2 linked regions of the Alligator mississippiensis genome follow. The protein of the gene in region 1 interacts with the protein of each later gene in a pairwise test. Links are inferred from orthologs where the notes say so. Each region holds a gene or a part of one and is shown on either strand. Other genes may lie near its edges.

Region 1 (11,863 bases):
GAATTTTTACAAGGCTGATGTAAGGAAGATGTCCAACCATAACAATGTTTTCTTGGAAACAAAACCCAATACCAAACAGTATTGCAAAAGAAAAAGGTAGATGCTGCTTTAAATTAAAAAGCATATGTAAACATTAGAAACACCTTCAAATAAAGATACACTCCATGTACTAATCTCTTATTATGACACCTAACATTTAGTTAAAAAGGGTTCAAGTAAAAAAAAAAGTTGAAACGCACATCTGACAGAACTTGGTAGCTAGTTTTCTCTTACAAGCAGATTCCCTAAAGCAACAGAAAGATCTGGCAAAAAGTGTACCACATCTGGCTATAGCACTCAGGTCAGGTGACTAATACCAGAAAAAAAAACAAACGTTTTGAAGTCCAGCTTTCAAATGGATGCTGAACATTGTGAATATGCTGTTTTAAGGGAGTTAGGCTGCAGGTTCTGGAACCATAAACATATTACCAACACTTTCCCTTTCCCCCCTGTTCCACAGCACCTCTATCCATAGTATACCTGGCGATTAAAGACATATCAGCCAAATTTGTTTTATCTTCATGTGCTGTAAAAAAAAAAAAAGGGGGGGAGGGGAGGAGCCTTGTTTCCTTTGAATGGGCAATACATTTTTCCTGTTATAACAAGAAGGATTCATGGGTAAAAAGAAAGAAGAAACAAAAGATAGAACACCGAACTTATCCTGTGGACAGTCAACTGGAGACAAAGATCTCAGATCTTTAATTTAAAAAAGATCCAGGGCATTCTTGTCCTCAGAGAGCAGGCAGGTAGTTTTGGGTATCTTTATACTAGCCTATATGGCACAGAAGTGACATAACCATAGCAAAGACTCTCAAAGGGTTCAAGCTGACTTGCCTTAAAATAAACCTGAGAGAGAGAGTAAGTCATCCAAGCAAAGCATCTCCTCATTCTTACTCTTATATCTAAACCAATATCCTGATTTTCAATAATAAACAAAAACAAGCACAAAACAGTGCATTGCATATCCCCCTCTAAATCAGTAGGTGCAGAGAACATTCACATTCTTCTGTGCAAGTTAAGGATACTATTTATTCATAATCTCTTGGGATACATCCTCTAAATTTAGGAAGAAATCAGACTGATCTGTTCTCCTTGCATATTTTGCTTATTAACGGCAAGCAAACTGATTAGCTAAAGAATGTTCTCTGTTCCCCCGCCTGTTCCAGTTGGTTATTTTGGTAAACCTCAAAAAACCATTCCTCCTTCTCCCCTACAAAGGGTTGTACACTCTGTTCCTACCTATCACCAGGCACCCCATACCAGAATAGCAGATAAAATGAATACCTTACATAAAAAAAACAAACAAAAACAAAATCAGGAGGTTGGCTTGGCTTAACAGCTTGTCTTACTAAAAAAAAAGGGAAGGGGGAAACCCTCTACCACAATATATAGTAGAGCTTAATGAGTCATTATTCTTACCCATTCTACCAGCTCTATTGGCTTGCTGAACCTACATTATATCGTGTCCAAAATTGCTTAAAATCTTTAGATCAGAGATCACATACATCCATATTTTGAAACTCTGGATACAAAGAATAAGTTATATCAAAATAGATCCTAAATTAAGAAAATGTAATAACAGAAGATGACAGATGCAATGAATGCTTTAAAGTTTCAAAAATTTTTTTAAATTAATTCTCAGTTGTTACTTGCCTGGTAGTCATTCATGGTTGTCAACATATTAGTTACTAATGACTAGGCAGAAAAGAAATGAGTTGCATCCCTGTGACCTAGCTCTGAGGACAGCTTGCAGGTGCAGTTTCCACTGAAAGGCTGTCACTAGTGGTATCTACTTCGGTCAGATGCAAGCCCCCAACTCATTTGTAAGCGGGAATACAATAGACCAAACACAGAAAAAATGCAGGGCTCACTTTTTTTTTTTTTATCAAATAGAAAAAGGATTTTGACAAGCAAAAGATTATGGCAAGTCACTTGGACTGCCTGGCAGTCTGTATGAAGCCCAACAACCATGTTATGCACTCCTGAGACAGCTGGTAGGTAGCATAATCCTACCCAATTTTACTTGAGACTAACACAATTTCAGAGCTGCTTGAAACTATAACTGTTCTGAACAGTTTTGCAGGTAGAGTTGGAAACTTATCAAGAGTTGTAAAGTTGTCATCTCAAGTTGAACATACAACCTTGCAAGCTTGACAAGAAAGCATTGTTACCTGGCAAAGGGTGTTTAGTATAAAACAAGCTCTCAAATCTTGCCAAATTAGGAGAGTTTTCCTACTTTTTTGGATTCTAGACATGTGAAGCATGTGGTACCTGGTATTCCCCATTATTGGAGGCTTTCTTTAAAGCTGTCACAAGATGTACATGAACAACTCCCCTGCATAATTGAAAGACACAGTATATTAGGCTGCCTCTGTAACTATCTACCAATACTACTTAGATTTGAATTGGGCATATTAAAAAAAAACCTCAGTTAACCAGCCTAACAGAGGAGAAACACCCTCTCTTTCAGACCTCTTGCCTCAAACAGGTCTGAATAGATCAGGGGTGTCCAACCTTTTTGAATGTGGGGCCAGATCATGAACTTCTTAATCACCCAGCGGGCCAGCAGAAGCAGGCGTTCGCGTGGCCTGTCCAGTCCGGCCACGGCCTGGGGGCGCAGGGGTCAAGGGGTGCCGCCTGATCCCGCCGTGTCCTCCCTGCCACCTGGACGGCCTCAAGGATGCTCCCACACCTGTGCGCCTGGGCTCAGCAGCCAGGGGGACATGTAGGGACTCTACAGGGGGGTGCGGGATGTGCAGGGACACTCCCCTGCTCCCTCTCCCCCAGGGCAGCCCAAGCTCAAGCCCAAGCAGCAGGGGTCCCTCCCTCCATGGGGCCCGCGACTCACCACCCCCAGCACAATGTCTGCAGGCACGGGGGAGGCGCGAGCGGCGCTGGCTTCCTGCCCTGACAGCCACAGCAGCAGCATCTCGCAGGCCCAGCTGCAGCATCCCTCCGAGCCGGCATCCGCACCCCGAACCCGCCGCACCGCGACCTGCTCCAGCCCATACGGCCCGGCAGGGACCAGCACAGGGTGGGGCCGGCATGCAAATGAGGAAGGGAGGGGCAGAGCTAGGGAAGGAAACCCTGCAATATGGGAAAGGGGAGGAGCTGGCATGCAAATGAGGAAGGGAGGGGCAAGGAAGGGACACCGTGAAATGTGGGGGGAGGGGACGAGCCCGCACCATGTTGGCAAGGTAAAGCCTAACCTTGTCCCTTCCCCAGCCCTTCAGCAGCCACTAGGAACCTGCTGAGAGGCTAGGAGGGACAAGGGGTAGGAATGAAAGTAGAGTGTTTCATTCCCGTCGCAGCACTGTGGGCCTCAGAAAATGGCTTGGCAGGCCATATGTTGGACAAGCCTGGAATAGATTGTATTACAAACTGCAACAATGTAGCAATGAATTGTTATAAGTCTTCACAGAGTATATACCATAACAGACCTGGTTACACTTTAGATCAGCGCTCCCAAACTCTGACAGATTGTGCCCCATCAACTTAAAATTATATAACATTAAGTACCATCAACATTTTTTTAGTTCAACCTTAAATACCACCAGCAAATTTTTGTCTGATAAAGTAATTATAATACAGCTGTTAACATGTGCCATTGACAGGTTGTCTGCGTACCACTGGTGGTGCCTGTACCACAGACTGCAACCTGCTGTTTTAGATTTAACCTTTTTAAAGAGCTTCCTCCATTTAAGATAAATCAAAGAATTTCCCCTCTTTTACGAGGAAGCTAGCAGATACCTGCATATGAGAACCAATCTGAAACAGCCGGATGGCTGCACCAAAGAGCAGCTCACCATGGAGAAGGGAACTCAGAAAGAAGCAGGTAAGTCCCACAAGGACCAGGTGCTCCCTGGCCAGAAAGGCTCAGCAGGACTCCTTCCTCAAACTAAGCAGAGGTAGCCTAGACCCCCACAGGACCAGCCGCTGCACAGCCAACCCTCCTCTTCCTCCCTGTCCCTTTTACAGTCCCCTGCAACGGCCCGCGAGGAAGTTCTCTTTCATCAACTTTTCTATTCCTGCCACGGGCAGCTCGGCACAGCGGTGTACCGCCGCGGCGGGCGCTTGCTGGGAGCAGCCGGCACCCGTGATCCCCCACCCGGGCAGACGGGTGCCCGGGCTGGGCAGGCCGCGGAGGCGGGGCCGCACGTGGGAGGCCGCGCCGGGAGCCAGGCGCAGCGGGGGTGGGGGAGGGGCGGGGCGGCCCCATTCGGGCGGGAAAGCGCGGCCGCCCGCGCTCGGGTTACACCGCGGCCACCTGCCGGCTCGGCGAGCGAGAGGGAGCTCTTACCCGGCCAGCGGCGGCGCCGCCCCCCCTGCCGCGGGTGCCGAGCGGGGTGGGTTCGCGCTCCTCGTCGCTGGAGAAGTCGGGCGGGCCGGGGCCGGGCGCGGGCGCGTTGCGCGCCGTGAGGTGCTGCAGGTAGAGCTGCACGTAGACGTCCTTGCGCTGCTCGCCGCCCGGCAGGCTCACATTGTTGGCCAGCAGCTCGCTCTTCAGCTTCTCCTTGGTCAGCACCGACGGGTCGGCCAGGAACTCGGGCATGGCTGGCGCCGCTCGCCCGCCCGGCCGGAGAGGCGCCAACAAAGGGGAGGAGGAGGCGGGGCAGGGGCCGCGAGGAGGAGGAGGAGGAGGAGGAGGAGGAGGAGGAGGGTGGGGGCAGGGGGTGGAACTCGCCTCAGCCCCGCGCCAACGGCCCCGGCTCCGCGGCGCGCGCAACCGAAGCGCTTCCCCCGACCCGCAATAAAGCGCGTCCGGATTGGCCGGGGCATGAACGAAGCCGCGCGGAGATTGGCTGCGGGGCTGGGAAGGGGAGCGGCGCGCGGGTTCCACCAGCAGCAGTGCTTTGCGCGAGGCAGAGTCACGCAGTTTAAATTCGGTGCAGGCGGGAGCCGCGCTTCCCGCGTGTGGGAAGAGAGGGGCGGGGCGTCCCGTTCGCGCCCCAGCCCCAACCGAGGCCGGGTGTCCCGCTCCGAGGCCCTCCCCCACCACGTCCCCGCGCCCCAGCGTGCGGCCGCAGGGATCCTGCTTGCACTGCACAGCCCGGGGGCCGCGAGCCGGCGCTCTTGCTGGGGCAACAGCCCACAGGCTGGCCGCAAGGACCCGCTCCAGGCGAGTCCAACAGCAATGAAAGCTGCCGGCAGGCACCCCGCCCGCGAGGGTTGAGAGCCGGACAGCCAACCCACCCCCACCTTTCTTCTGTGATTCCCCTGACCCCAGCTCTCAGGCGCTGCGAGGTGGGGCATTGTGGGGCGGAGGGTGGAGCGGAAAATGAAACTGCTGCAAGGTGAGCGGCAAGCCGATCTGAGGGACGATGACAGCGGAAGCAGGAGCGACAGTGACAGCAACACCGACAGGAGAGGAACTGAGAATAAACCCCAACAGCAGGATTAGGACTAAGACTGCGCTTGGGTTAGGGAAAGGACTGAATGGGAGTGCGGGTCTGCAGGTGCATTTATTGTAACGGCTGCAGGCTTTCAATGTGGCTTAAGGTGTGTGAAGAAAAGCTTTTACTTGATCTATATATATATATATTTATTTTTTTTTTCCGGAAGAAAAAATCTGTGCAGTCATTTCAACACTGCTGTACACTTCTAGCAGGGCTGCTGTGCCCCAGAGGACTCAGTCTCTGGCCGGAAAACAGGCTTTTCACTGAGCTCTCTGGGAGCCACTGTGAGGGAAACCAGCTTTCAGTCCCAGCAGGACTTCCACAGAAACCAACCCCTCTCTTTCTGTTTTGGGAGCCAGTGATTGCCCTGGCCAGGATTTCTCCCCACCCACAGCAACAGCTACAGGGAAGCAGTGGGCACTTCTAGTAAGAGAGCATTGAACCGTCTGGTTCACAAGCACAGCCCTGCCTCTGAGTAGATGCTGTGTCAAGGTGGTGCAACACAGGGCTGAAGCTAGCTCAGAGACTTTGTTTACTCTGTTATAATATTTGTAGTTTGGTTACTTTGTTCAAATGTATTTATGTCTGTTATGTCATCTTTGGGAGCATGGCATTTAGCAAGAATCCTTAATAAATGAAAATAAATATCCTAACAGTGAAAATAGCCAGAAGTGGCCCGTGGGCATCTGCACTCTTGACCATTTTGCATCTACTGAAGAGCAGGAGCATAGGATTAAGTGTACTATTTGTTCAGTTTCCAACATCTTATAGTAGGTAGCATCCCTAGTCGCAATTACCTCTCAATGAGTGCATCTACACAACATGCCTTAATGCACAGTGGACTGTTCTGCACATAAGGAAAAGATGTGCTAATGTGCAGTAGAATGTCTACTGCACATTAAGCATATAAAAAAACAACCATTTGCCTTTGCTACTGCACATTAGCATGGGTTAATGCACCTTTGGGTGCATAGCCAAGGTATGTTAACTGCGCAGTAGCCTAATAATACTGTACAGTAGCACGTCACATCACAAACAGTTCTAATACACTACTGCATAGTATTAGTAAGCTATTGCACATTCACTGACACTACCACGCAGTAACTCCAGTTACTGCGCACTTATTTAGTACGTGATTATACAAGTACGAAATTAAATGTACAGTAACTACTGCACATTAATGAATGTGTAGATGCACCCTTTATGTAGTACCTCAGAGGTACTAAACTTGATGCACAGTAGTAAAGACACATTAATTACCATGCAGATGCTCCCAGTAAATTGTTATATTCAACTACTTCCGAAACGATATACAGGCAGTCCTCGGACTTACAACACAATTGGTTTCTGAAAATTGCATCTTAAGTCGAAACGTTGTAACTCAGAACCAGTTTTCTCATAAGAAATATAAATGGGAGACTGGTTCCTGAGCCAAGGCCCGATACCCTATTTTCACCAAAAATACTCCAGAATTTTTTACTCGATCAATTATAGATGAGTAATATAGCTACATTAATGTATTTCTATTGTAAATAGCAATCATATTGATTTGGAAGGACTTATTTGAGGTGACTTTGCTGGGCTTTTTGAAAGGCTCTCAGCTGTAGTCTTCTCAGGAGTCTTGGTTGCAGGTTTTTCTGGAGTCTTGTCTGCTTTCTTAAAGAAAGTGTCCAAGGAAGTTGGGACAGATGTTCTCCAGGGAGATGAGCAACGCAGCAAACTTGTTCACTGGCATGGCGTTGCATCGGATCATGCGTTGTAAAGTTGAAACTGACATCGTAAAGTTGAAACAGTGTCAATTTATAAATGTAAGTGCAAAACGTAACTCGAAATGTAACTCGAGGACTGCCTGTAAGCCAAACAGGAATAAAAGTGTCCATCGGGGAGCATAATACTTTAAATTCACGCTCACACTGATACAACAACTTCCCTCTATAGGCAAGCCAGAATCCTTTTCACCTAGTCTGTTCTTTGTGCAGAGGATATCACAAATTGTGTGAAGTTGGTATACCTTTGACAGCTGCCTTTAGGAGTAATGAGCATTGTACAGGCATGCCAAGGATCATCACCAGTGTCATCAGCAGTCCCTCAATATGATGGTGACAGTCTTCCATCAGTGAGTCCATAGACAATTGAGGACAGTCCAAGATCTGCATGTTCAGCTACAGACATGGCAAATAGTTCTGGGAGGAAAGAGCAGTAGCTAGTGATGTCAAGTCACAGGTCTTCCCTTTGTCTCTCATCTATCCACCTCCAGAGAGAGGTGAGTTTGCTCAAAATGGCTCATGCCTTGATGTACATCACAGCACCACTAGGGATAACTCAATGCTTGAGTCTCTGAGGTATTAATGTTAGTATCACATTTCTTCAGATGGGCCTTTAAGGTGACCTGAAGAGATTCAAGGACAATGAAGGCCATGTAAAGATCTTAGCATTGCTTGCTGCACTTCTGCAACTATCTAGCAACAAAGATCATATCGACTAACTCTGAGTGGTCTGAAACTATGTTGGGACTTGGGTAAAATCTCTCCAGTGAGGGAACTGAGTCTACTGAGAAGAATGTGGGTGAGGATTGTCCCAGCTAAGGACAAGAGTGCAATACCATGGTAACTGCTGCACTGTGATATATCTTATTTCTTGAATATGGTAAAGATTCTGGCATCAAGTTATTAGGAATCTGTTCACATTTCCAGATTTTCATGAGAACTGTATATAGTGGATGAGAAAGCTTTTTTTCCACATTGCTTATAAATTTCAGCTGGTATTCCATTGTTGTTCTTCATATGCTTAATGGCTTTCAAGGCCTCTTGAAAGTTGGTGGGTCTGCAAGGTCAGCTTAATGGGGTGTTATGGAATGGCTTTGATTGCATTGCCTCCAACATTAGAATCTTGATTCAGGAGCTCTTGAAAGTACTTGTCCTATGCATTGATGGTGGAGCTGTCTTTAAAGAGTATTGTTCCATCCTTGGATCTCAGAGCAATGGCTCCTTGTGTGTTTGGCTCATAGACAGTTTTGTTTGTGCTGAAGAAACTCTGCCTGTTGAAGCTGTCAGCAAGCTTTCAAATCTCTTTTGTTTTGTCCTCTCACCACTGGTTCTTTTGCTCTTAAATTTTCCTTTGGGTCTTGGCTTTAATGTGACAATAAGTGTCTTGCTTCTGCTTGGAGTTAATATCATTCTGCCAAGCTTTGAGGGCTCCCCTTTCTCTGTCAATGAGAGTTTAAGTTTTCTTGTCATTCTCACCAAATCAGTCCTGATGCTTCTTTCTGCAGTGTTAGGCTGTGGCCTCAAACCTGGAGTCTCACTCTTCCCAGAATGGCCACTCATCCCAGTCTGCCTCCTCCCCACTTGACCATACAAGCAGAGCAAGTTAGCCAGAAACCTCCATTTGGATCTAACCTTCAACCCACTCCCTAGAATGGCTAGCCAGGTTCAGCTAACCCATCATTCTCCTCCCCTGACCCCAAAAAGGCAGCATCTGGGCAACAGAGCTCAACTCTGACTAAAATTACCTTGCTGTTCTTTATGGCTTGTGCATCTACCTGCTCTCCACTTGATCTCTTGGTTACCTAACCTGGCTCGCTCTCTGACTCTATGCTCTGCCTGACCCTTTAGCTTTTCCCAGCTCTTTGCCTGTTCTCCTGGCTACTTAACCTGGTTTACCCACTGACTCTATGCTCTACCTGACCCTCTGGCTTCCTGACTTGGCTTGACTGACCTGGCTTCCTGACTTCTTCATACCTGCTGTCACAGTCCACCAGGCCAGCATGCCTAGTAGGTAGAACCAGGCATGGAGCAGGGGCTCCAGGGTAAGGGTCAGGAGCCACAAGTCAGGATTCAAAATGCTAAGCCAGGATCAGGAGCTGGGAATCAGAAACCTAGTTATCAAGTGTGAAGGATAATACACAGGGCAAAGTCCAAAAGTAAGCCATGCTGGGGTCAGAAATCAGGAAACATGTCTGCAGGGAGAATCCAAAGGCAGAGTCAGGAACCAGGTAAGCCAGAGAAATTACTGGGACAGGAGCTGCACTGAGTGAAGAGCAGTGTGTTACGCAGCAAGGTTCAGGTTCTGGGGGAGTTCCTTAATGCAGTTCCAGAACCAGAGGGAAGGGGCTGGGGGTTAGTTGGCCATGATTGGTAGCAACTGAGTCAGTGCACTTAACAAGGGCTGCAGGGCAAAAGACTGCTTAAGCCTTACAGAGCTGACCCAGGCTGCAGCATAGGAGCCTTACACCTGGATTCTGCTCCCTCCTACCAACCCTCATTGTCCCCTCTACCCCAAGAAACCCCTAGACTTGGCCAGACATGATATGGAGAAGCCTAACTGCCTCAAGGATGCCTTTCTCCAGGCTTTTCTAGTGATCAGCATGATCAAGATTATCAGGGAGGTCAAAGAGTTTCTCATTGTGGCACTGCTGGAAGTGATCACTTTTATCAGGATTTTTTAAGCACTCAATATTGAACCTCTTCCTTGCTTCTTTTGTTTGTCATTTTGGGGCAATACAAACGGACATGAAAGAACGTATCAAACAATGATCTGTCATCTGTGCTAGTCATAGCTCTTGGTGATACAGATATTACAAAGGATCTGGGAAAACACTATCTTGGGCAATCAAGTGCCAGTGTTTTGTGCAGGGCTGCACCCATGTTCCTTCCATTTGTTGCTTTGGTGGAATGAGTTTGTGATTATGAAATCATGTTTTAAAAACTTGCTCAGGAGAAGAATTCTATTGGAATGGACTTTCCCTTTCTTTCCAAATGTTCCTTTCCATAGCCCAGAATACCTGCCCACACTACCATTGAAACCATCATGAAGAATTATCTTCAGGGACAGATAATAAGATTTGATCAGGTTTATAATCAAACTCTTCTTTGTTTCATCATTTGCATCAACGGTTGGGCTCACGCACTGATGACTGTTACATGTAGTCTGTTGGTCAGCTGAAGACAAAAGGTCATGAAGCTGACTGGGCATTCTGGCATCTGAGTGACAGTCTTATTCTTGGTAGTAAAACCAACACCATGAATGTCAATATCAAATTATGCAAGTACTCTGCTACATATGCTGTCTTTTACTCAGGTCAGTCACTGTTAGGGTAGTTCAGGCACTGTGGACATTCCAAGTTGGAAACTTCATTACTTGATTTGAACTGAAGATAGCCATCTCACTGGATGCAGTTTTCCAGTCAGGTGAAGTGAGATAGACTACATTTAAAGCACCTTTCTAAACCTTTCCCCATATGGGTTGAGCAGAATGGATCTTAAATAGGCCTGCTCAATCATGATTGCACCTGCCAAATTAAACACCAAGTTCCAAGTAAAACAGTTCCAAGTAAAACAGCCATCATGCCATCACCTCTGTGTAGGTTCATGACTAGGGGCTTCTCATAATCATTAGCACCTGTTGCTGTCACCATTTGCCCATCTCCATAGAACTATCACTAGCCTACCCAGTAATCACTAGCACCTGCCCATATCTTCTTTTATTGTGGGGGGTGTCCTTGTGCACCAGCAGCTACAAAATACTTCACAGGAAGGAACCCTTAATCTGAGGGCAAGGAACACCTACACAACCAGAGATTTTTATTCCGCTGCAACCTTCATTTGCCTTTGCGTTTTTGTGATGTATTTTTTCTTTATCTGCCTGCTCCATCATTGAGGATTTTTACTTTTGGATTGCTATTAGCCTGAAAATCTTGCTCTTGACCTTTCCACTATGGTCCAAAACTGCAGACAGCATCACTCTCAAGGTTCTTGGTAGCACATAAGCCTCTCCACCATATCAAGGTTGCAATCCTTGGGAGGATACGGCCAAAATGTGTGCAGCTGTTATACTGGAGAGCCCACAGCTACCTACAGAGTTAAAGTCATCATCCACCTCAGGGTCTGGGTTGTTTTTTGGTTGGTTGCCTTGTTTTAGTGAAAAAGAACTTACATCCTGGAGCAAAAGATCAGTGAGAAACCAGTGCTAAGGCACTATTAACCATCAGTGAGAAACCACCATGCTCCCTTCTACTCTTCCTACAAGAAGAAACTGCTAGTATATTTATTACCAGTCTTGTATTAAATATTTTCGAATACAAACTTATTGTCTGATGACACCTCTTATGTGTATTGCATTATTTGAGATTCAGATGAATTATGCACTACATCTGTAGGTTCTGCTTTTCAAAGTCTGAAACAATAATTACAAGACTCACATGCACCATCACCTATGAAACAGGCAGGTGCATTTTACCTACTGTTAAATGCAAATAGGAAGAGGAAGGTAACACAAGAAAGCAAGAGAAATAAGTGAGAGACTGTGGCCATTTTCATCTGTTGAAAAGCTGCTGTAAGCCTGCCTAAAAATGTGGAATATGCTGAAAGCAGAAGCCAAAAATACTTTCTGTGCAGGACACTTCTGAATTACTGGAATTCCTCAGCTTT
Region 2 (12,079 bases), on another chromosome or scaffold:
GGATAAAAAAAGCTATTGTTTTATCTGAATTTGACTCAGGCTGTACCTGCTTATTTCTAAGACCTGAGGAAGGGCACTTTGGGCCCAAGAGCTTGTCTAATGTTCCTTCCAACTATACCATCTAGTAAAAGATAACACTAAAAACACCCCTGATTTCTCGCATATTTTCTAGACCACCACAGGTACAATAACACCCCAACCCTATATTAGGTTGCAGATTCCATCAAAACTTGGAGTGAGTTGTAAATCTGAGAATTCATCACAGAGAAAGTGCCTCACACCTTCCCTGAGGAAGCTCTAGTGTGAACACCTTTGCTGATCTCAGCTAAGCAGGCTCATAGGTGGAGGGAAAGAAGATAGACAGGAGTTATTTATATAGTACTGTGCATGTAATTTTGGGCTTGATAAATCAAAAGTAACACATTTATTTTTTCTTGGAACCAAATGCAAATCCCAGACAGCTGGTTTTGTACTCTCTGGGCAGGATAGTCCACTTTTCAATCAGACTAAACCTTCTGTGCTAGCTTCCAACTTTGAATGAATTTACTATGTAGCCCTATGTAGAGCACATTATATCAGCTCTGTGCTGGAGATGAGAGGTGTGCAGACCTGATTTGTATGGTGCTGGTGAACTTCAAGAATGACTCAACTGAAGTTAATCTAAGTCTGGTTTGGGCTCTTCGTCTTTACAAAAAATTTGCTTGGTGTGCCACATCTTCCAAGTTTTTCTTAGTTTGGGGACTTTCTAAAATTTAGGGTTATGTCTACACTAAGATGCTTCTACAGCCAGATGGCAGCTGCCAGAGCACGTTCATTATGGGCTTTTGGAAGCTCAACACATCTCTGGTCCAACAGTTGTACCACTGGAGCACAAAATCTATTTTGAGAAGGCACCAGCTGCTGAATGGACCATGGCAGCTGGGTGAAGATACAAGAGTTTTTAGATTCTCTTGCTTGCTGCTGGGAATCAGCGGAAGTCTTGCTCCACTCCGCAGAGGTGAAGTAATTCTTATGATGGAATGGAGGGTTCTGCTGCCACAGAGGGGCTTTGAATGTGCATGTACTTTGCTGGCAGAACGTTTGTAGTGTGGAGTGGACATAGAATGAAATTCAGGTCTGGATCTGAAAGTAAAATCCCACAAAGTTTAGGATTGAAAGTCCTAGTCCAATGTTAATTAAAACTTGCATCAAGAATTACCCCAGTTAATCCAATTTAGATGGGTTGTTAATCTGTATATGCAACAATCACGTATATACAGAAATTTCTGTCTCCCGTTCCACAAGCTATGCAAGTGCTTGCAGTCAGAGTCCCAAGAAATACCTGTATTGTTTTTACTGCATTGCTCATCTTTGTAACAGGGGGATATTAACACTTCTGTTTCAGAGCACCTACCAACCACTAGCTCGTTAGGGTTAGAAAGAATTGCCCCTATGGGCAGATCGTTCTGCAAATATCTATCATTGGGAGGTTTTGCACTTTCCTTTGAATTGCCTGATACATATGGGCCACCGTCTGAGACAGGAAGGTAGACTGGATAGACTCCAGTCCAAGCTGGAGTGACAATTCTGGGTTCTTAGATCTATCCTACGTGTAGAAGGGTGCCCTGCCAGGAAGATTCTGCCATGAATTACAAGAAGCATTCAGCTTGAACAATCTGTTTATAGCAATGAAAGGAAGCAACTTTGCAAAGAGTTTCAAGTTCAGCATGTTTCACCTATCTAAAAGAGCCCTTGTTTTACAGATAGTATGGGATCTGTTTGGCTTTAATCCCCCAAATGTGCATGGTGTTCTGTTCTGTTCCCTTAACTATGAGCGTTCGCATAGCAGATGCAGAACTAGTCTTTGGGACATAGTATCTAATTTGTTTTTTGCTCCTCATATTCACATTGTTATGATGATATTCTTGCCCCCCTTGTGACTATTTCTAAAGAACTTTTTTTCTATTGTCCTTTGTGGGGAGTTGCAGGGGCACGTCCTTCTCCAGTCCTCTTATCCAATCAGTGCACAAGATCCCAAATATTTAGGAATTTATGAGGAGTCCATTCAGGGAGTCTGCATCTCCACACAGCATGGTGTGGTCCTGTTCATCCTGAAAGGTGATTTGTCCACTCGAGAAACACATTTTTTAAAATAAAAGATTTGGTGAAGGCTCTATGCTGCAATTAAATCAATGGCTGCTGAATACATGAGACCCTTCTTGCAAACTGACGAGCTGTCATCAGATGGTTTAAATGAATGACTTGGTAACTGCTGACTGAGCTGGGTTGAATTTGAAACAAAATGTTCAGATATATCTTCACTTCCCAGAACCGTATAGTCCTTTGCTGAGAAGGGATTGGAGAAACTGAGAGAATCATTGAAGCACCTGGGCTGCCCCCAGCAGCCTTACCTTTGGTCCTGGGGACCTGTCAGGCCTGCAGCAGTGGCAATCTAGACATGAGGAGCCTGGTCAGTCAGGCTCTGGTTTCAGTCAGTACATGCTTGCCACTATGCATGTACGCTACTCTGCTTTTTTTCTTGTGAATCTTTTTTTGACACCAGGAGATCCCTGTGACAAAAAAAATCATCATGCTGCTAATTAGCAGCACAGCAAACACATGCATGTGCAGCGTGTACAGTTTGCAGTGCCACAAACCACATGTGCATGCTTGTCTGGACGCACCCTTACTGTCAATATTCCTTGTTATTCCAAGAGTTGCCTGCCTGTACTTCTCAGAGATACATAAAGTCCCTGGGCCAAGCCTTTATTATCAGTGAATGGATATTAAAGTCTGAGGTTGGAGGATCAATTTTGCTCACTGAATGAAAGAAGTAAGCTCTAATCAACTCTACATTTTATTGGTGTGGGTAGTGCTAGTGTGTGGATCTTGTGCATGTGTTTTGATGATTCAGGAAACAAAGGCTAGGAGATGAGGAATGAATGACAGAACCACTAATGATTTAGTACTGCTCAAGGAGATAATTCGTTTGACATGGCAGTCAGTCTCACTAAGGTACTTGTTACAGCCCATATAGAATATTGTGTATTACCAGGGAGTAGCGTGGACAGTTTTGCTCATGTATGGTACCCTAACCATGCATGCCATAGCTAGATTTTTCCTATGGAGAGTGGACCATCTAAGAAACTATAAAAGATATCATAGCTCAAGCATCCAAGTAGTAATTCATGTTTAAGGGACATTGTTTGGGAAAAGAAATTTTGCTGTGACAAAATATGAAATTCCATATTATGAAAGGAATTGTTAAAATTATTAGGGAACAAATTTTCCATGTTTTTCAAGGATTCAAAACCTAGAAGATACTTCCTAAAAACGAATAGGTAAGCCTGGGCTGAACTGTATCAAGTAAATAAGTAGGAACATCTGGATTAAATTACCTAGAAAAATTGAGAAGGGTTTGAATTTGAAACGTTACAAATGACAAAGCAGGAAGGAGGTATTGAGATAAGCACAACCCCCCCCCCCAAACAAACAAACAAACAAAAAAACAAAAACCAAAACGGTTAGAATGGAATTTTCAACATTCCTAAAATATATAATCTTGGCATGAATCCTCCAAATATTTGCTGGTACTGAGAAAGAAACAAGATGCTCATCATAAGTGCATTGCTTGGTACTGACAAGCATTTAATTGCTTTAACTGGTAAAAGGTAGATATATTTGAAACAGAACATGAATACAGATAAGGAGCAACTCCACTGAGGGACATGCAGTTAAGTTCTGGAGCTGGGCCAGCAGCAGTTGGTTTACAGTTTTCAGGCAGGCGCCAAAATTAAAAAACAGAACTGCATTTCAAATCCAAAGGAAGTGAAAGGGGAGGTTCCCACAGGCATATGGGCTGTTCCTGCTGTGGCTTTCAGCCCTGGGTTAACAGATGGTGCATGACCAAGTCTCTTGTTTAAAATGCCAAAGTACTCTGGGATTTGTAGTCCGTCTTTTCCTCCTCCCCTTTTGAAAAAAAAAATCCAAGTTCAAGCTAGCTGTTTATGGCTAGGAGTCAGACTGTATATTTAGAGCGGATTGGTTAGATTATTAAAAGTCAGCACTGAACTGGGAACAGTGTCTGTGGTCATGTTGCAACTATTATATATTAAGAAAGAATGTCACCATTCCAAAATGGTACTAAGTTCAAAATGATAGCACAAAGAAAAGAAAAAAAATGATGTGAGTAAAAAGTCAACTTTATTTAGAAGACTACATTATCTTATCATATCATGTATAATGCAAGCATAGAACTTGGGTTCAATTTCCCACTCTTTCAGACCTTGGGCAAGTCACTTAAAGCTAGATTTGCAAGACTTAAGACTTGCCAAACTAACAGTCTTCGTGCCTAATGTGTCAGTGTTCTACTACTTATTGTAATCCACAGATGTATTAGGCACTCAGGCTCTGTATATAATGCATGAAAGGGATTACATGCCTTTCTATGGGACTCACAAAAAGCTAGCAATGCTAAGAGGGCAAGGGCCACCTCAAATAGTCATTACAAATGCCAGACAGAGGGTTATCTTTTTTATAGCCATGTTGGTGTGAAAAGAAGGAATACAGATACACCTCTTGGTTCAGAGATAATACCTTTTATTAGACCAACCAGAAAATAGTAAAAAAAAATATTTTTTCCCAAGGTTTTGGACACACACACCCTTCTTCAGGCTGAGGGGAAATTAAAGATGGTAAAAGTCACCTTAGGTAGAAAATAAGCTTCGTTTTGCACAGAGAAGGCTGAAGGTGGATCTATGTTCCTCTGGGTCCATGAGAGTCCCTTAGTGTGAGTTTCTCTTGCATGTTCAGATAAGGCAGTTTCTCTTCCCTGGTGGTGTCAGATGGCAGAAATGTTGCTTTCTTGTTTAGCAATGAAGTTTGTAATTCCAAGAAATTACTAAAATTTGGTATCTTCCATGTTTCAGGGATCTGTGTTATAGCTGTGTTGGTCTGAGACAAGAAGGAATACAAAACTCTTGGTTCAGAGGTGTTATACCTTTTATTTTTTCAAAATAACAAAATAGCAAAAAAACAAAGGGCTGTGCATGAGAAATTGCTGCCTTTCAGTTTCTTAGGCATTTAACTTCAGACTGTGGGGAGGTAGGTGCTTATATCTGTTCAGGATTCACTTCATGGAATTGAGCACCAAACCCAGTCCTCTTGAAAATCATGGCTAGAGGGTTTGTACCTCCCTTTAAACAATAGCCAGTAGGCAGCACTCAGTCAATGTGGGGGATCCAGATGCACTTCTCTCCTCAGTATCCTAAAGTTTGTGTTCTTAGTTAGGTGTGGGGAAATCTGGATTCTGCTCCCTGAACCGGTTATGTATTTTCAATTAGACAGTTATCACATTTAGCACCTCCCCCAAAAAATCCTTAATGCCTGGGATCAGAAACCAAGTTTTCCTACCCCATTAAGTGCCTCAGTAACTGGATTACAGAATCATGGGGCACTTATACACATAGGTTGAGGCTGTTCTGGTGTGTTGCCATTACAGCGTGTCAGAGCAGGCTTACTTGAGTCTGCTGGAGCATGGTAATTACCATGCTCCAGCAGACTCCAGTGTCACGTGTATCAGCATCCCTGTGCTGAAAAATGGCAGCAGGCGTGCTTTAACTAAAGCTTGTTCGACAGTTTAATTACAGTGGCACTAAACTGTAACTTCTATCACTACACCCACCACCAGAGGTGGGTCCAGATCTGGCCTACAAGGAGCTACGTAGTCCAGATTCAGCCCAAGGAAGGTAGGTGAGTTTGATACCCATGCTATAATCTAGTGACCATATTTGCAGTGTCTAAATGGGACACACTCCTCCCCTGCTCTGTTTTCTAGCTCTGGTTTCAGCTGTGCATATTGAAGGAGGAAGAGTGGCGGTGGAGCATCAGAGTGTAGAGGGTTCACAGTGCTGGAGAACTGGGGAGAGGAGCTGAGGAAAGCAGTCCTATTTTAAATGAGCCCCTTGGGTGACCTGCTGAAAACAGCTGAAAAGATGAACTGTAGGCAGTGAGGAGGCTTCGTAATCTAATGAGTTTTGTGGCTGCTGGAGCAGCGTATTATGGACTACTTTCTGAGATTCAGGCAGAATTCTGGTACATCTCATTTAAGTGCACAGTTTACCAATCTGCATTTAAGGCTCAGGCATTTTTGGCTTGCCCAAAATCATACTGGGTACACGTGGCATGTAGCACCTCCAGGTTAGGCTAGCAACTCAGTGGGAGTTATGAAAATCCACGTTTTGGACTGAGCTCTTCTCTAAGAACCTCCCTTCTGCCAGCAGTTACGCTGCTGCCTCCTCTCCCGGGGATAGGGCTTGGGCTGCCGCTCGGACGGAGGTGCGCTTCGGGCTCTCCGCTGGCTGCTGCAGGTGCTTTTGTGCTCTGGCGCACAGCGCTAGAAGGATGTGGATATACATATGGTGGCTGCTGGCTGCCAGCAGAGCTTCTTGGTACGCATGGGGCCATGTAGACCCTCAAGATGTTGCGGCCTGGGCAACTGACCTGCTTGCTTGCCCGCCCCTAAAACCAGGCCTTTTCTGTTTAAATTACACAACAAAACACTCCTGCTGCTGCCCGCCCGAGGCCGTGGGGCTCTTTGGCTACAAGGCCTTTCAGGTGTGTCCCAACCCGCGAGGCCCTTCGCGCACTACGATGAACATCCCCCAGCCAAGGCCGGGGAGGTCCTGCACGTGCAGAGCTCAGTCCTCGTCCCCAGCGGGTGCCTGCAGCGACTACAGCCCCCAGCAGCCCCCGCGCTCCCGGCCGCGGGCCCGAGACTCCATTTCCCAGGGGGCGCCGGGCCGCGCTGCGCGGGACTGGGGGAGGCGGCCGCCATCTTACCGCTCCTCCCGCCCACTGTGCGGCTGGATTGAATGAACCCGCTGCTCGCTCGTCCCGTCCCGTCTCGTCTCGTCCGGCGGAGCGAGCGCCATGTCGGGCACCCCGCTGTCCCCGACCCGCATCTCCCGGCTGCAGGAGAAGGAGGACCTGCGGCAGCTCAATGACCGCCTGGCCGTCTACATTGACCGCGTGCGCTCGCTGGAGCTGGAGAACGACCGGCTGCTGCTGAAGATCTCGGAGAAGGAGGAGGTCACCACCCGCGAGGTGCGGCCGGGGGAGCGGGCCGGGCCGGGCCGTCGCAGCCGCACGTGTGTGGCCGGTGGGAAGGGCCGGGGCCGGGGCCGGGGCCCTCCGCGGGTCCTGAGGCGGCGGGGCCAAGCGAGAGCCTCCTCCGGGCCACGAGCTGGCGGGTCCCCGGGCGCCGGGGCCGAGGCGGCGGGCGGGCCGGGCCCGCCTCTGTCTTCTCAGACTTTGATGTGTCTCACGGCCGCGGCGAGTTGTCTTTGCTTTCTGTGTTGACGGCGCGGTAGAGTAGCTCCTGCAGGCTGTGTATTCGCGTAGTTTTCATCTGCTTTAGTCACGCTGCGGGCACATGGTGTGCAGAAGGAGAGGAAGCATGGTTTTAATACAGAAGGACTAACAGGGAGCGAGTGTCCTTTTGTTAAGCGAGAGCAAGTATTGCTCGAGTTGAATCTGATGCTTCTGCGTACGTAAATCTTCCCTGTAAGAAGCTGAGCATCTGCGGTAGTGTACGAATCGAGGTTAATTTGGATAAATGAGACTCCTGGACAAGGATTGTTTCACTGGCTGTTGCGGGTGTTTGGGACCCAAGCAGTTGTTTAAGCTGTGCTTGTGTTAGACTTGAAAAGCTACGGCCATTTGTATCTGAGGGTTTGTCCACCTAGGATAGGTCCTGTAAAAAAAAAAAAAAAAAAAAAAAAGAAACAACTCCTGCCCCCTGTCTGAATTTCTGAGCACTTGTGCAGTAGAAGTAGCTTCCTTTACGTTCAAAGTGAAGTGGAACTTTTGTAGCCAAAACGACCCAATTTGCCCGATTCTGAGATGGCTTCAAATTTAAAATGACCCACAATCATTAGATTGTGTACATGGAAAATTCTCTGCTGTGGCAGGGAAAGCAGCAGTGGGAGGAAAGAGGCTAGACTTGCACCTTGTTTCCCTAGTCCTTGTCCCCACTGGCCTGTGCCTGGCCCCAGCCTCTTGCTCCCTCTGTGCCTGTGCTGGCTCCCACCCTGCAGCCTACCCCCCACCCCTTGCCCCCTGTGCTTGCTCCCACCCCTCTTTACCTTCTGTGCTCAGCTCCTCCGGGGCAGTGAGCAGTAGTAGATGGCCTGGCCCAGTCTGGCCAGGGAGACGTGGCAGCAGTTCCTACCTGGGGTGGGTTGGGGCTAGAGGGATCAGGGTTGGAACAGAAGGCAAGAGGTATAGAAGGGGTAGCTGGGGTAGGGGGGCAGGCACAGGCATAGGGGGCAAAGGGTGGGTAAGTTGCAGATAGTTCCCCCTCCCTCTCTCCCAGTCTCTTCCCTACTTGCCACCGAACAAGTCATTTCAACCCTGGCACAGCTCTGAGCCCAGGGCCAAAGCCAGAGCTGAGCTGCTGTCTGCCCTGGGCTGGTCCTTGAATCCAAGATGAGATTTTTCCCATTCTGATTGGGGGCAAAAGACCTTACCTTGCTTTTGAGTAAATAATGGCATTTGCAGCTGATGCCAAGAGCAATTGCATAGCTGTATAGTCTGATAGATTTTTTTTTTCCTTTACGTTAAAGTTTAGTCAATAAGTTAAAGTTTAGTCATTAATGGAGTGAATTTTTGTAGATTAGGTATGCCCAGTGTTTTTTGCTTTACAACCTAAAGTATTTCTGTTTTACCTTTTTTCTGCTTAAATTCATGAATTTTAATGGTGTTCATCATCAATATGGAAATTTCTTAATGCCGTTCCATACGGTTGGGCATGTTTTAAGGGTCTTCTCCTCCTGAAGAACAGCAAATAATTATTTTGGGAATAATTTTAGATATTTCAAATTTAGCTGGTATCCTAGTGCAGTGCTATCCTGTAGTGGTCAAATTGTGGCTCATTGGGCTTCTTGGCATAGCTGGTAGAGCCACTGCATTGGTGTGGTTCCAGCACCCAGGGGGTGAGCATTGTTGCTTTTGCCCCTCTTCCTCCTTTTTCTTGTCTGCTACTGCATTTGGGGTCTTAGGTTGCTGTTGGGTGCCTGAAATCAGTGGCAGAGGAAAAGTGGGGTAAGTGTCTATGCTGGGTTTGTCTGGCCTGCAAGAAGTCCTGCTTCCAAATCAGTTGGGTTTTGGGGGCCAGTACCGATAGTCGATGTTTCAGGAGGCATATCGACTGATACTGATCTGATTTCTGATACAGCTGCCTCCGGCTGGTAAGTCTAGTGTGGTGGAAGGGGAGGGAAGGGGTGTGGGGGAGGCAGATCCAGATCGATGCCCTCCATGGTGAGGGAGGGGGCAGGGTCAGGCACTGCCCGGGGGGAGGGGGGAGCCATGCTGCCTGGGGATCTTTTCAGGAGGGCCTGGACTTGGAGCAAGTGCTGGGTGAATGCTGCATCGACCCCACTGCTTGGAGCAGAGCAGCGGCGAAATTCGGGGTGAATGCAGCATCCTCCCAGCACCACCAGCGTCCACTCTAAGCATAGCCCCTGTGGAGAAGAGCCCCACGCAGCCCTGGCTGCAGCCTACCCCAATACATGGACATGGACTTTGTGGTGGGTGGTATATAGACATGATAGGGAGAAAATGTTCTTTCTTAAAGAATGTATTGTCCAAGTTAAGTAGGTTTTGATTTAGAGGTGCACCGACATCGATCTATGTTGTACCGGCACTGATAAAAGGAAAATTGACATTTCATAGATTGCATAGACATTGGGGCTGGAAGGGACCTTGTAAGATCATCGGATCCAGCCCCCTGCCAAGGGGCAGGAAGTCAGCTAGGGTCAAAGGATCGCAGCAAGAGAAACATCCAAATGTTTCCTGGAAGTGTCTAGAGTAGGTGCTTGCACCACCTCTGGGGGGAGTTTGTTCCAGTCCTTGCAGGCTTGGACAATAAGGAAGTTTTTCTTATGTCCAGCCTAAAACAGTCTTGCAGGAGTTTGTGACCATTGGACCTTGTCATCCCCTGGGATGCTCAGGTGTTCCCCCAGATCCTGATGCACACCCCTTATGTACTTATAGGCTGCCACCAAGTCACCCCTGAGCCTGTTTCTCCAAGCTGAAGAGTCCCATAGCTGGCAGCCTCTCTTTGTAAGGCCTGTTGTCTTGCCCTCTGATCGTGCACATGGCTCTCCTCTGGTCTCTTTCAAGCTTCTCCACCTCCTTCCTAAATTTTGGAGCCCAGAATTGGATGCAGGACTCCAGCTGTGGCCTCACCAAGGCCAAGTACAGTAGGAGGATGACATCCTGGGTCTTGCTTGAGATGCATCGGTAGATGCAAGCCAGAGTTTTGTTCTCTTTGCCAGCTGCAGTATCACATTGGTAGCTCATGTTCATCTTGTGGTCAGTCATGACCCCCAAGTCTCTTTGGTCCTGGTGCTAGCAGGTGTAACACTGCCGAGCCTATAAGTGTGATGCAGGGTTTTTTTTTCCTGAGGTGGAGCACCTTGCATTTCTCTGTATTGAATGCCATCAGGTTTTCATCCACCCACCTTGCAAGCCTATCGAGGTTGGCTTGGTTCACCAGCCTATCCTCAAGTGTGGAAACTCTTCCCCAAATATGGTGTCATCAGTGAACTTTGCCAGTCCGCTTTTGACACCAGTATCGATTATCAGCCATTGGCTTTTTTTGGCTGATAATTTCATCAATAAATGCCATGTGCATGTGTGCAGCTGCAGCATGCACGCGGCCAGGAATGTACCTCAGCAGCTTGGAGAGCAGCGTCCAGCTCGTAAGTCTGGGGGGGGGGGGGGAAGGGAGGAGGAAAGGGATGTGGGGGGGCCAATTGAGGCCCTCACAGTGAGGGAGGGAGTGGAACAGGGTGGGCAGGCATGCAGGACAGAGTTGTAGGCGGCTTGTCTGGGGAGGGAGGACAGCTCCTGCTGCTGTGCACACCCCATGGGAGGCATAGGAGGCATGTGCCCCCTGGATTTGTGTGTGGGGTGAGCACTGCAGGCTCAGGGATGTAGGCTGTGCTGTCCTCTTCTTAGGCTGGGGCTGTGCTCAGGGTGTGCGGCAGCGGCCCTGGGAGAGGAGCTACAGGGGGGCTATGATGAATTTTGGCATGGCTGTAGCCCCTCCTCCAAGCACTGCCACTGCTCCCCCTCCCCCCCACTGGGAAGAGGCCGGCACAGCCCTGAGCCTGCAGCTGGCAGCCCACCCTTGCCCCACGCACAAATCTGGGGGGCACATGTGCCCCATGCCTTCCCCAGGATCTATGGAGCAGCAGGAGCCTCCTTGTTCCCCCTGGACGAGCTCCCCATGGCTCTGTCCCACGCTCTGCCTGGCTGGGCAGCGCCTGCCCCAGCCCCACTCCCTCCCTCCCAGTGGAGGCCTCAGTCTGTAGCCCCCTCCCCTCCCTCATGTCCCTTTCTCCCCTACAGAATTCCTGGCCCGATGCTGTTGTCCAAGCTGCCAGGCTGCATATCAGCAGTCGGATCAGTATTGGATAGTTAATAATTTGCCATTGGTAAAAATCTTTATTGGTGCACTGCTAATTTGACTTGGAAAAATACTTCCCTGATGGCTAGTTGTTGGTCCTGGAGGTGTTGACAGGAAAGCAGAGTATGCTATTTGGCTACTCTTTTTTTTTTTTTTTTTTTTTCCTGTTTTGATCCCTTAATAAGGAAATATCTGAGAGAGAGCAAGGGTTAATACAGCTCTCACTTAGTGTTGTGACAAATGTCACACTTGTCTGTATCCAGCTAAAAAACTTCTTGCTGCTCATTTTGGTGTGCATTAATTGTATTATTTGTCATTTTTATTTCTGATACTTTAAGTTCCGTCTGATTGCTTTCACTTGGCATGTATTTGTTTGATATCTTTTTGCTTCTCATCTGTTGCCTACATTCTCTAACTTATGGTGTGCATCCACTGCCATCTGTGTCCCTTTTCCATTGGTGATTCTTTAAAACTCTTTAAATGTCTCCTCTTGCCTATGATGGCCTCTTCTGCAGCTGAGGAATATTGCAGCTGTTATCATCAGTAAAAATGTTGGAAGGTTTTCTATTTACAGCCTGCAATGAATTAGAAGTTAATCTTCAGCCAAAGAAAAGTTATCACCAAACC

The links.
Region 2: the proteins of TMPO (region 1) and LMNB2 interact in a two-hybrid assay, tested with the Homo sapiens proteins (2 studies listed by BioGRID, with this or other methods). The link is inferred for Alligator mississippiensis from reciprocal best matches to the Homo sapiens genes TMPO and LMNB2.

What each region holds. Positions count from the first base shown.
Region 1 is NC_081827.1:93,736,732-93,748,594, forward strand, and holds the start of TMPO (thymopoietin), read right to left. Parts: upstream 4,775-11,863; 5' UTR 4,592-4,774; coding exon 4,340-4,591; intron 3,870-4,339; exon of another isoform or gene 3,849-3,869; coding exon of another isoform or gene 3,846-3,848; intron 1-3,845. UniProt on the Homo sapiens protein: May help direct the assembly of the nuclear lamina and thereby help maintain the structural organization of the nuclear envelope. Possible receptor for attachment of lamin filaments to the inner nuclear membrane.
Region 2 is NC_081839.1:11,805,793-11,817,871, reverse strand, and holds the start of LMNB2 (lamin-B2), read left to right. Parts: upstream 1-6,825; 5' UTR 6,826-6,909; coding exon 6,910-7,083; intron 7,084-12,079. UniProt on the Homo sapiens protein: Lamins are intermediate filament proteins that assemble into a filamentous meshwork, and which constitute the major components of the nuclear lamina, a fibrous layer on the nucleoplasmic side of the inner nuclear membrane.